2 linked regions of the Kluyveromyces lactis genome follow. The protein of the gene in region 1 binds, or shares a complex with, the protein of each later gene. Links are inferred from orthologs where the notes say so. Each region holds a gene or a part of one and is shown in the gene's direction. Other genes may lie near its edges.

What was found. Proteins that work in one complex are often made in the same cells at the same time.
Region 2: the proteins of RAT1 (region 1) and RAI1 are in contact, whole or in part, in a crystal structure (PDB 3FQD), measured with the Schizosaccharomyces pombe proteins. The link is inferred for Kluyveromyces lactis from reciprocal best matches to the Schizosaccharomyces pombe genes dhp1 and din1. Residues at the interface, in NP_594155.1 of Schizosaccharomyces pombe: Arg218, Val219, Pro221, Glu222, Asp318, Arg321, Leu371, Asp372, Lys789, Ser843, Phe845, Val846, His847, Lys848, Ser849, Met850, Leu851, Leu852, Arg853, Gly854, Lys856; in NP_594904.1 of Schizosaccharomyces pombe: Tyr45, Tyr46, Pro47, Ile158, Trp159, Asp160, Ala161, Cys162, Ser163, Arg164, Ile167, Glu168, Trp204, Asp205, Lys206, Glu231, His236, Glu288.

The regions. Positions count from the first base shown.
Region 1 is NC_006042.1:701,626-708,065, forward strand, and holds RAT1 (ssRNA exonuclease RAT1), read left to right. Parts: upstream 1-2,329; coding exon 2,330-5,308; downstream 5,309-6,440. Other genes in the region: Cu(2+)-transporting P-type ATPase CCC2, read left to right, coding at 1-1,987; DNA-dependent ATPase FUN30, read left to right, coding at 5,891-6,440. UniProt on the Schizosaccharomyces pombe protein: Possesses 5'->3' exoribonuclease activity. Required for the processing of nuclear mRNA and rRNA precursors. May promote the termination of transcription by RNA polymerase II. Essential for vegetative cell growth and chromosome segregation.
Region 2 is NC_006041.1:1,139,790-1,144,197, reverse strand, and holds RAI1 (decapping nuclease), read left to right. Parts: upstream 1-2,634; coding exon 2,635-3,789; downstream 3,790-4,408. Other genes in the region: PTR2 (Ptr2p), read left to right, coding at 67-2,031; BRR6 (Brr6p), read right to left, coding at 3,825-4,208. UniProt on the Schizosaccharomyces pombe protein: Decapping enzyme for NAD-capped RNAs: specifically hydrolyzes the nicotinamide adenine dinucleotide (NAD) cap from a subset of RNAs by removing the entire NAD moiety from the 5'-end of an NAD-capped RNA.

The DNA.
Region 1 (6,440 bases):
CTATGTTGGTTCCTATTTTTATAAAGCTGCATGGATCTCTTTGAAACATGGCTCAGGTACAATGGACACTTTGATCGGTCTTTCTACTGTTTGTGCATATATTTTTTCATGCTATTCCATAATTTCTAGCATTTACCATAAATCGACAAAAATGCCAAAAGTCATCTTTGACACCGCTGTCATGCTTCTCACATTTATTTCTTTGGGCAAATTACTCGAAAATAAAGCGAAATCGGAAACTTCAACTGCAATGAGTAAACTCATCTCTTTGACCCCGTCCTCCTGTTCCATAGTTTTACCAGATGGCTCTACCAGGGAAATATCAGTTGAATTGTTACAACCAAATGATATCGTAGAAGTCGTACCAGGAATGAAAATACCAGCTGATGGTGTTGTTATTCGTAATGAAACTGAAGTTGACGAATCGCTAATCACAGGTGAATCGATGTTGGTGGAAAAAATCGTCGGATCTCAAGTCATCGGGGGGAGTGTCAATGGACCTGGTCATTTCTACTTCAGAGCTATTCGTGTCGGAGAAGATACAAAATTAGCGAACATTATCGCAACGATGAAAAAGGCACAGTTATCTAAAGCTCCTATTCAAAAATACGCTGATAAGATGGCGGGCATATTTGTCCCGTTTGTGATATCACTATCAGCAATAACATTTATAACTTGGATGCTTGTGAGTTACACGATGAAGACTCCTCCTCTCATCTTTAACAGTGAAAATGGCAAATTCTTCATGTGCATGCAAATGTCTATTTCTGTAATTATTGTTGCATGTCCTTGTGCATTGGGTCTAGCGGCACCTACGGCGATTATGGTTGGTACTGGTGTAGGTGCTAGTCATGGTGTTCTCATCAAAGGTGGTGATGTTTTGGAGAAGTGTAGTGCTCTACAGACGTTTTTGTTCGATAAGACAGGTACCCTCACGACGGGGCGGATGAGTGTAGAAAATTTCATTAATTATAACAGTGATGTATCTGATTTACACTGGAAGATGATTTCATTGTGTGAATCAATAGGAGAACATCCAGTTGCAAAAGCTATTGTCAATTATGCTGATTCCCACGTAAATAAATCAAGCATTTTCGATTTGGATTTATCGAATGAGGAAGTTCTCATTGGAAAGGGAATTTCCTGTAACATCACAGATAAAAATACTTCTAAAATCCATACAATAACCATAGGTAACAAGAAATTATTTCCCGATGAGAGTTTGAGTGATATCGCTTCTTCTACTTTAACAGAATCTTATGTTTCCATCGATGGTAGTTTAGTCGGCAAATTTGAAATATCTGACAGGGTCAAAGAAGACGCACATTTTGTTGTAGAATATTTACAAAATTTGGGCATTAAATGCTGCATGGTCACAGGAGATGCGCATCAATCTGCTCTGAAAGTGGCACAACAACTTGGCATATCCGCTAATGATGTCTTCAGTGAAGTCACTCCTGAGCAGAAACGTGATATTGTCATTCAACTCCAAAACAACGGTACAGAGAGGGTTGCCTTTGTCGGAGATGGTATTAATGATTCTCCGGCTTTGGTTGAGGCAGATCTAGGAATTTCGATATCTTCTGGTACTGATATTGCAATCGAAGCTGCCGATATCGTTATTCTTGATTCGGATAATAAAAATAATTCGTTAAAAGGTTTGGTTTATGCACTTGATATTGCGCGTAAAACATTCTATAGAGTGAAGCTGAATTTCTTTTGGGCTGTCTGTTATAACACATTCATGATTCCCATTGCTATGGGTTTATTAGCTCCTTGGGGTATCACTTTACATCCAATGTTGTCTAGTGCTGCAATGGCTCTAAGTTCCGTGTCCGTGGTCTGCAGTTCGCTAATGTTGAAGAGGTGGACACCGCCTTCACTCAATATCAAATCAATGGAAGCTTCCGGTGGATTGTCATGGCTTAGATTTGGTAGAAACAGTAACAGAGGTGATGATATTGAACTTCAGGAAAGATTGATGTAACCTTAGCTATTTACGCTATTGCAATTCTTAAATATCAGTACTTGTATTATAACATTAATAAAATTCATATTCGTAATAAACGAAAGATTGTATAATAGAATCGCTGGATGAGTTTATTGTACAGTGAACCAAGCGCTGTGTTTAGCAATTACTGGTATTATTGTTACTCAAAGCGGTTTGTCACTACATCGTTGATGAGCTGAGTTATTTATCCGGGTAACAATAAACAATAAGTAAAATTAATCGATGAGATGAACATAACTTTAGAAGTACAGATGAATGCATACTGTAATCTAATAGGCAGTTGGTACAAATAGCGAGAAGTAAGGCCAGGTACTCACAATGGGTGTTCCGTCCTTTTTTCGTTGGTTGTCTAGGAAATATCCTAAAATCATTTCTCCTGTGTTGGAAGAATATCCAGTTATCGAAGATGGTGTTCAACTACCGCTTGATTACTCTTCGGCCAATCCCAATGGTGAGTTGGATAACCTTTATCTCGATATGAATGGTATTGTTCACCCTTGTTCACATCCGGAGAATAAGCCACCACCTGAAACAGAGGATGAAATGCTTCTTGCTGTGTTTGAGTACACAAATCGCGTTTTGAATATGGCCAGACCAAGAAAAGTCTTGATGATAGCGGTTGATGGTGTTGCACCAAGAGCGAAGATGAATCAACAGAGAGCACGTAGGTTTCGTAGTGCAAGGGATGCAAAACTCCAAAATGAAGCCAGAGAGCAAGTATTACGAGAAAGAGAGGACTATGGTGAGACGATTGATGAAAATGTCAAAAGTAAAAAGACATGGGATTCAAACGCAATTACTCCAGGTACCCCATTTATGGATAAACTAGCTACAGCTTTAAGATATTGGACAAGTTTCAAGTTAGCAACTGATCCCGGGTGGAAAAATTTACAAATTATTATAAGTGACGCTACTGTTCCAGGTGAAGGTGAACATAAAATAATGAATTTCATTAGATCTCAAAGAGCAGACACTCAATATAATCCAAATACAACACATTGTATATATGGGTTAGATGCAGATTTGATCTTTTTGGGACTAGCAACCCACGAACCTCATTTCAAAATATTAAGAGAGGATGTGTTCGCCAATAACAACTATAAAAAACCAAAGCCTCAAGATATGATAAATTTATCTGAAGAAGAGAAACAACAGCTTATTCAACAAGATTCAGAAAAGCCATTCTTATGGCTCCATATCAGCGTTTTAAGAGAATATCTTTCAGCAGAATTAGCGATTCCACATTTATCGTTCCAGTTTGATTTTGAACGAGCAATCGACGATTGGGTTTTCATGTGTTTCTTCTGTGGTAATGATTTCCTACCGCATTTACCTTGTCTTGATGTGAGAGAGAATAGCATTGACATTTTGGTGGATATATGGAAGACTGTGTTGCCCAAAACAAAAACCTACCTAACATGTGATGGTACACTCAATTTGGAACCTGTAGAAGCTTTACTTGAACAATTAGGAGACCGTGAAACAGATCTTTTCAAAAAGAAATACATTCAGGAAGTTCGTAAGCAAGAGGCTCATGATAGGCGAAAGAAATTGAAAAGTAACCCCAATGTTTCCCAGGGCAAGGTCGACAGAAATTTTATGATTCCGTTGGAGAATATGCCGGTCTATGATGTTGATGGCAACGCCGCTGAAGGCTCTTTGAATTTGTCTAATAAGGATTTCGCTAATATGCGTAAAGAAATTAATTTGGCGAATGAAGGTGATGGCGAAGCAGCTAAAGCTTTGAAACTAAAAAGTGAGAAGAATAGCGGTGTGGTCGAGTTTTCATCGGAAGAATTGAAAAATAGCGTGCAACTGTCGAAGACTGCGAACTACGATGCTGCTACCAGCTTACAGGAGAAACTTATTGCTAAGAAGATGGCAATGAGAGATGAGGAAAATGCAGAAGAATTGTCGTTGAAACGGAAAAGTGAAGATGTTGACTCTGCTGAAAAGGAAACATCCAATGAACCTGAGGATGATGAGGCCGATTATGATGAAGACGAAGGCTCTACTGTTCCACCAGCGGTCATCCACACCGGTATTGTAAAATCAGGGTTCATTGACACCGATGAGTCGGTTAGACTTTACGAACCTGGATATCATGATCGTTACTATCAACATAAATTCCATGTTCCAGCAAAAGATATTCCAGCTCTGCAAAAGGATGTGATTAGGTGCTATGTGGAAGGTATTTCATGGGTTTTATTATATTATTATCAGGGATGTGCGTCTTGGACTTGGTACTATCCATACCATTATGCTCCTTTTGCTCAGGATTTCAAGAATATAAAAAATCTAGATATTCACTTTGATCTTGGTGAACCATTCTTACCATACGAACAGTTAATGAGTGTTTTACCAGCAGCATCAGGCCACGCACTACCCGAAATATTCAGACCATTAATGTCAGATCCAAACTCTGAGATTATAGATTTCTATCCTGAAGAATTCCCAGTGGATATGAATGGTAAAAAGATGGCTTGGCAGGGTATTGCACTATTGCCATTTATAGATGAAACACGTTTACTGAAAACAGTTCGAGAACAATATTCTAAGCTTTCTGATTCAGAAAAGGCAAGAAATGTTAGGAAGAAGGATGCACTTTTGATCAGCAACAAGAATGTGAATTACGACCTGTTTATGAAGAATTTATATGGAGAAAACCCCGTTAACGTGATAGAGTTTAGACATTTCAAATCTGGTTTAAGTGGATTCGTAACACAAGCTGAAGAAGGGTTTGAACTAAACTCCAAGCTGATATGTCCTATTAATGGGGGTGGTTTGCCAGATTTGAGTACAAATTTATTCCTAAAACTTTCGTATACGCAGCCTGTGGTTGCGGGTAGATGTAAATCGTTAGTATTGAACGGATATATCCCACCTCAACCAATGCTTACCCCACAGGACCGAGACTGTATCATTTATAAATACAGTAACCGTTGGAATCCTTCCATGATGAAATACAACATTGTGCCTGTTGGCCCATCGGGGATTACCCAATATCAGCCCAGGGTTGGAGGTTACAGAAGTTTCTTCTTCCATAAAGAACAGACAGCTTATGCTCAACAACCGCAACAAAATAGAGAGTATATGCACTCGCAACAGAGACAGCCACAGGGCAGCAGATATCAACAGTCTAGGTATAATAATGGAAACTACAATAATAGTAACAACGGTTATTCTGATAATAATAATGGTAATACCGGCAAATACAACCGTCATTATAACAACAGTAGAGGTAATAGCAATCGATACTCGAATAGTAACGATAGAAGAAGGGAATTCAGAAGATGATGAACTGTGGACAATTTTATACCCGTTTATATCAGCACATTTATTTGTAATACATACTATAACATCAACATCCAAAGCATATTACTGAGCAACAGGAGTAGAAGCATTCGCGACAGTGATCAGCTCCACAGATACTCCTTTTCCAGTATCATGAACCTGGATACAAAATACACGTGATTTGTAGTTTCACTACTGTGTCTAATATTTCTCCAACTGTATAACAATTATCCGATATAGTGTAACGGCTATCACATCACGCTTTCACCGTGGAGACCGGGGTTCGACTCCCCGTATCGGAGTATTTTTTTCAGTTTTTCAAGAGAAGTCTTTTTTCTTTTTTTCACTTTTTATCAGCTTGTGTACGGGCTCTTCTTTGCCAAACCTTTGATGATGAAAACCTCAGCTAAAGCCATTAAACTCGTGAAATGATTAATACCAAAAATGTTACTTTGGCGTTTTCATAGTAGTGGATGAACAAAGCTCATCGCAAAAATTTAGGAGACTCCGTTTAGTTGGAGTGTTGAAGGTCGGCTGTTCGATCACCTATTCATTGCATTTTTTGACCCTCACTATCTCACTGTAATGGATCTTCCAATACCGAAAAGTCCCCAGAACAAACAGGATGAAGTTCAAGTTCCAAGTTCATCTCCCTTGTTACAGACAAATGAAGAATCTTCTCCGTTAAGGCCCGAAACTGGTACGCGGATAGATGAATCGCCAATATCAAGTAACTCTACTTCTTCCCTTTTGAGGGACAAGTTCACGTATCAACCGGCTACGAAAGCAAGAAATGGTTACTCTCAGAATGATTTATCGCATGAACAAGCTTTAAAAGTGTTGGTTCAAGAATACAAGGACCTATCACCCACTTTGATTAATGCAATTTTCAAGCAAAACTCTATGTCTATCTCCTCGTCAAGAAAGCGTTTGGACCATATTGTCGCCTCACGTACCGGGGGATCGTGGAGATTCCAATCTAAAACAAACGTGAACCCGACACTTAACTTAAATAAACCCAACTCTCCCATGGATCTGTCAAAATCTAGATTAATCTCATTGAAAGAGGGTGGCTCCTCCGGGAACAGCATCAAAAGCAATCCTGCTATTAATTTGCCCTCTAGAAATGTATCCA
Region 2 (4,408 bases), on another chromosome or scaffold:
CCAACCAATAAAGGTCCATCTCTCAACTTATAAGACACACACACCGTACCTTTTGTTCAAGCAAATATGTCCGCCGCAGAAAAGGATTTCTTGACAGACGACAAAATTAGTGATGATATCATCAACAACAACAACAACAACAACAACAACAACAACAACAACAGTCAGGCATTGAACGTTGACAGCACAGTTAGTAGTGATGATGAATTTACTGGTGAGAAGAAAGATGAAAAATTCAAAAACAACACAGACATCAAGGTATATATTTCAAAGGACCATCATGCTAGTTCTGATAAAATCGATTTTATTGGTGCTGTAGACGAAGATGACAACCAAAACGAAAATGGAAGAGAACCTACCGAAGAAGAGTTGAGTACTTTGAGACATGTGTCGGAAAGGATTCCATTCACTTGTTGGTTGATTGCCATCGTTGAATTGGCTGAAAGATTCTCATACTATGGTCTTTCTGCACCATTCCAAAACTATATGCAAAACGGTCCTAACGACACACCAAAGGGTGTCTTGCAGTTGAAATCACAAGGTGCCACTGCTTTGTCGTATTTCTTCCAGTTTTGGTGTTACGTTACTCCATTGTTAGGTGGTTATTTGGCTGATACTTTCTGGGGTAAATATAATACTATCTGTGTTGGTGCCAGTTTCTATGTTGTTGGTATCCTGATCTTGTTTATGACTGCAATCCCAAGTATCAACGATAAAAACTCCTCGTTGGGTGGATTTATCGTTTCTTTGATTATAATCGGTATTGGTACTGGTTTTATCAAAGCTAATTTGTCCGTCTTGATCGCAGATCAAATCCCAAAGACAAGGCCTAGAATTAAGGTTTTGAAGAACGGTGAAAAAGTCATCGAAGATCCCAATGTTACAATGCAAAATGTGTTTATGTTCTTCTACTTGATGATTAATATTGGTTCTTTATCTGTCATGGCAACCACCCATTTAGAAGCTAGTTACGGTTTCTGGGCTGCTTATTTGTTAACTTTCTGTTTCTTCTGGGTCGGTATCGTGGTGCTTGTGTTTGGTAGAAAGAAGTACGTGAGGAGGCCCATTGGTGACCATGTCATTGCAAGATGTTTCAAAATCTGCTGGATTGGTTTATGCAACGGTTTCAATTTGAATAGAGCCGTTCCATCTTTGAACCCAGAAAAGGAGTACCCATGGAATGATTTATTCATCGATGAAATTAGAAGAGCTTTCAAGGCTTGTAAAGTTTTCGCATTTTACCCAATTTACTGGGTTGTTTACGGTCAAATGCTTAACAATTTCGTTACCCAAGCTGGTACTATGGAATTGCACGGTTTGCCAAATGATTTCTTACAAGCTATCAACTCTATTGCTTTAATTGTATTCATCCCAATCATGGAACAATTCATTTACCCATTTATCAGACGTTTCACTCCTTTCAGACCAGTTACCAAGATCTTCATTGGTTTCTGTTTCGGTTCTAGTGCCATGGTTTACGCTGCTGTCTTGCAACACTTTATTTACAAAGCAGGTCCATGTTACGACTTCCCAATGTCCTGTGCACCAGAATACGCAAACACTCCAAACAGAGTCCATATCGGCTGGCAAGTTCCTGCTTATGTCTTAATTTCTCTTTCTGAAATTTTCGCGTCCATTACTGGTTTGGAATACGCTTACTCTAAAGCCCCAGCCACAATGAAAGCCTTCATCATGTCCATCTTTTTGGTCACGAACGCTGTCGGTTCTGCTCTCGGTATCGCCTTGTCCCCAACAGCCGAAAATCCAAAGTACGTCTGGACATTCTCTGGTTTGGCTGTTGCTTGTTTCATTGCTGGTTGTTTGTTCTGGCTATGTTTCCACCACTACAACAAGGATGAAGAAGCCTTGAATGCATTGGATTACAAGACAGAAGAACAAGAACAAATGTTGTCAGGTGTTGGTGTCACCGGAGAAGGTGCTGCTTTATACAGTGTCTCCTCAGTTCGCAGTAGAGTTCAACAGCAACAGAAACAGCAAAATCTAGAGCATCAATTATCTCGCTCAGCTTAATGTTCTTTTATAACTCCTCTTTGGCCTTTGTTAATAAGAGAGAACACTCTCATCGCTGGCAAGGCAGAAGTACAGTCTGACAAATGCATAAAAAACTAATGTCTTGACATAAAGAATAAATCCATGTTTGATCCATTATCAATCATATCACGAACTATTTCGAGATCTTATTATTTTCTTTTTGTCCCTGGTTATATTATATTATTATTATTACTATTGTATTATCATTATCAACCGGTCATTGCACTGTATCTAGTCTATTATCAACGATAAATAGAGAACCTTCATGTAATCAAACACGTAATGAATAGCAATTGAATTGTTAAAAGCTCTATAATATCTCTATCCAGGATAGTTTCCTGCAGTGATACCTCCTAGGGAAATAATTTGTTTTGTATTTTAACGTACTCTCTCTTTGTCTTTTTATCTTGCAGACAGCATACAATAAGGCCTTTACAATTGGAAATTTTTCATGCATTTAAAGCTTTAAAAGAATCTCATCACCAAGACACATGTAAGAAAACATTTGACGAGGAGGTGTTCTATAGTGGTGACTAGTTCAGAACGTGAAAACCTGGTAGCTTTGAATAGACTTCTTGCATAATGGTACTATCTTCCAGTCTTTTCGTTCAAAAAAGAAGTACAACTACTGCTTTGAAGCAACCAAAAGAATTAGGTCATTATTCGAGAACACAGGACAATGGATTTTTAGTCAACGATGATTCGAGGCTAGCATACTATTACTTGCCAGATACGGATCTAGACAAGAAGCTTGATCTTTTAAGTGGAATCAAGAAGTTCAAAGAGTGTAATACGGAAGAATTCGACTCTACAACATTGCATGGATTACTTTCGACTTTGGAAGAGTATGAGAGACGTAAGAGTAAGAAGACGAAGGTGGATATCATTACGTTCAGAGGTATCATACGGAAGCTCATCTCCAGTGCTTTTGATTCATCACAGTTCAATCCGGTAAATTTCCGTATTGTTTCGTTTGATGGACAACTATTCATTAAGGAAGTCAAGACAGACGCTTCGGAAACCTCCATTAACAAGAATAGGGAGTCGTTACAGGCAAGGGCATATTACAGTGGTTACAAATTTGAAGCACTTGCAACCTTATCGCTGCCACTACCGTTGGTACCCAGAACTACATTGGAAAAGAGACCTAAAAAGATTATTAACAATGGGGACCAATTCATCTCAATGGTTAGAACAGGAATAGGTAAATGTAAGATATTGATCGGTGCAGAAGTGGACTGTATTTTTGATTTTAAAGAGGATTCAGATGACAACCTGAAGCATTACGCAGAGTTGAAATGTACCACAATGGTCAATACCGTTTCCGATGCGCATAAATTCGAACGTAAGTTGTTTAAAACCTGGTTACAGTGTTTCCTAGTAGGAATAAACAGAATTATATATGGGTTTAGAGATGACAATTTCATGCTCAAAACTGTAGAGGAGTTCACTACATCTGAGGTACCGCTAATATTGAAGAACAACAACCCACAGATGCAAACTGTGTGTGTAGATGCCATAAAATGGTATGGTGCCTTCACAGAGTGGTTATTGACAAGTATTCCAAGACCAGAAGACGATATTGACACAATTAAAGCCTATAAACTCATCTTTGAGAACAATCACCTAAAACTCACGGAAATTGAGTCTGACGACGAAGAATACAAGCAGCTGGTGGAAGGAGAAGAGATACTATCAAATTCGTTCAAACAATGGAGAAAAGATCTTCGCAAGTAACTTCTTTATACGTGATATATATGTACACAGAGAAACTACTGAAGTAGTTTACTAGAAATTGATATAAGCAATACAAATAGCATCAGTACTATTATTGTCTTGAAGGCAAGTGCCTGTATAAACGAATTTAACGTGTGTGCAAGTGTCTTGGCATATAAATTGGCCATCTGATGAACGCTGGGGTGCGAGTCCAGCTGCGCACAATGCCACCATTCATCACATTTCCCAGCTAAAGCCGGCCGTATTCCCTCACTACATCTATTCTCAACATAAGATCGTTTGCACTGAGAGATTTTCTTCATATCCACCCATTGCTGTTCCAATAACTGCCATTGCACATCTTTATGCACAGTCCAACAGAAATATCCCACTATTACCACAAGTAAACCCTGGAATACCAATTTATTCACTGAGTGCATGAGAAGAGGCTATGACAAGCTCTTAACCCAAGGTCTTAGCACAGGTCTTGGTTCATTTGGTGCTCTATTCAATACACCCGGCCAAGCAATGTGCGTCCCAAGATATTAATCAGTGATTCGAAAGGTTGCTCTTCGGCAATTACTTAAGAAAAAAAAAACCACGTGACTTGTGCTTTCAAATCGGCGAAATCGAATCCTTA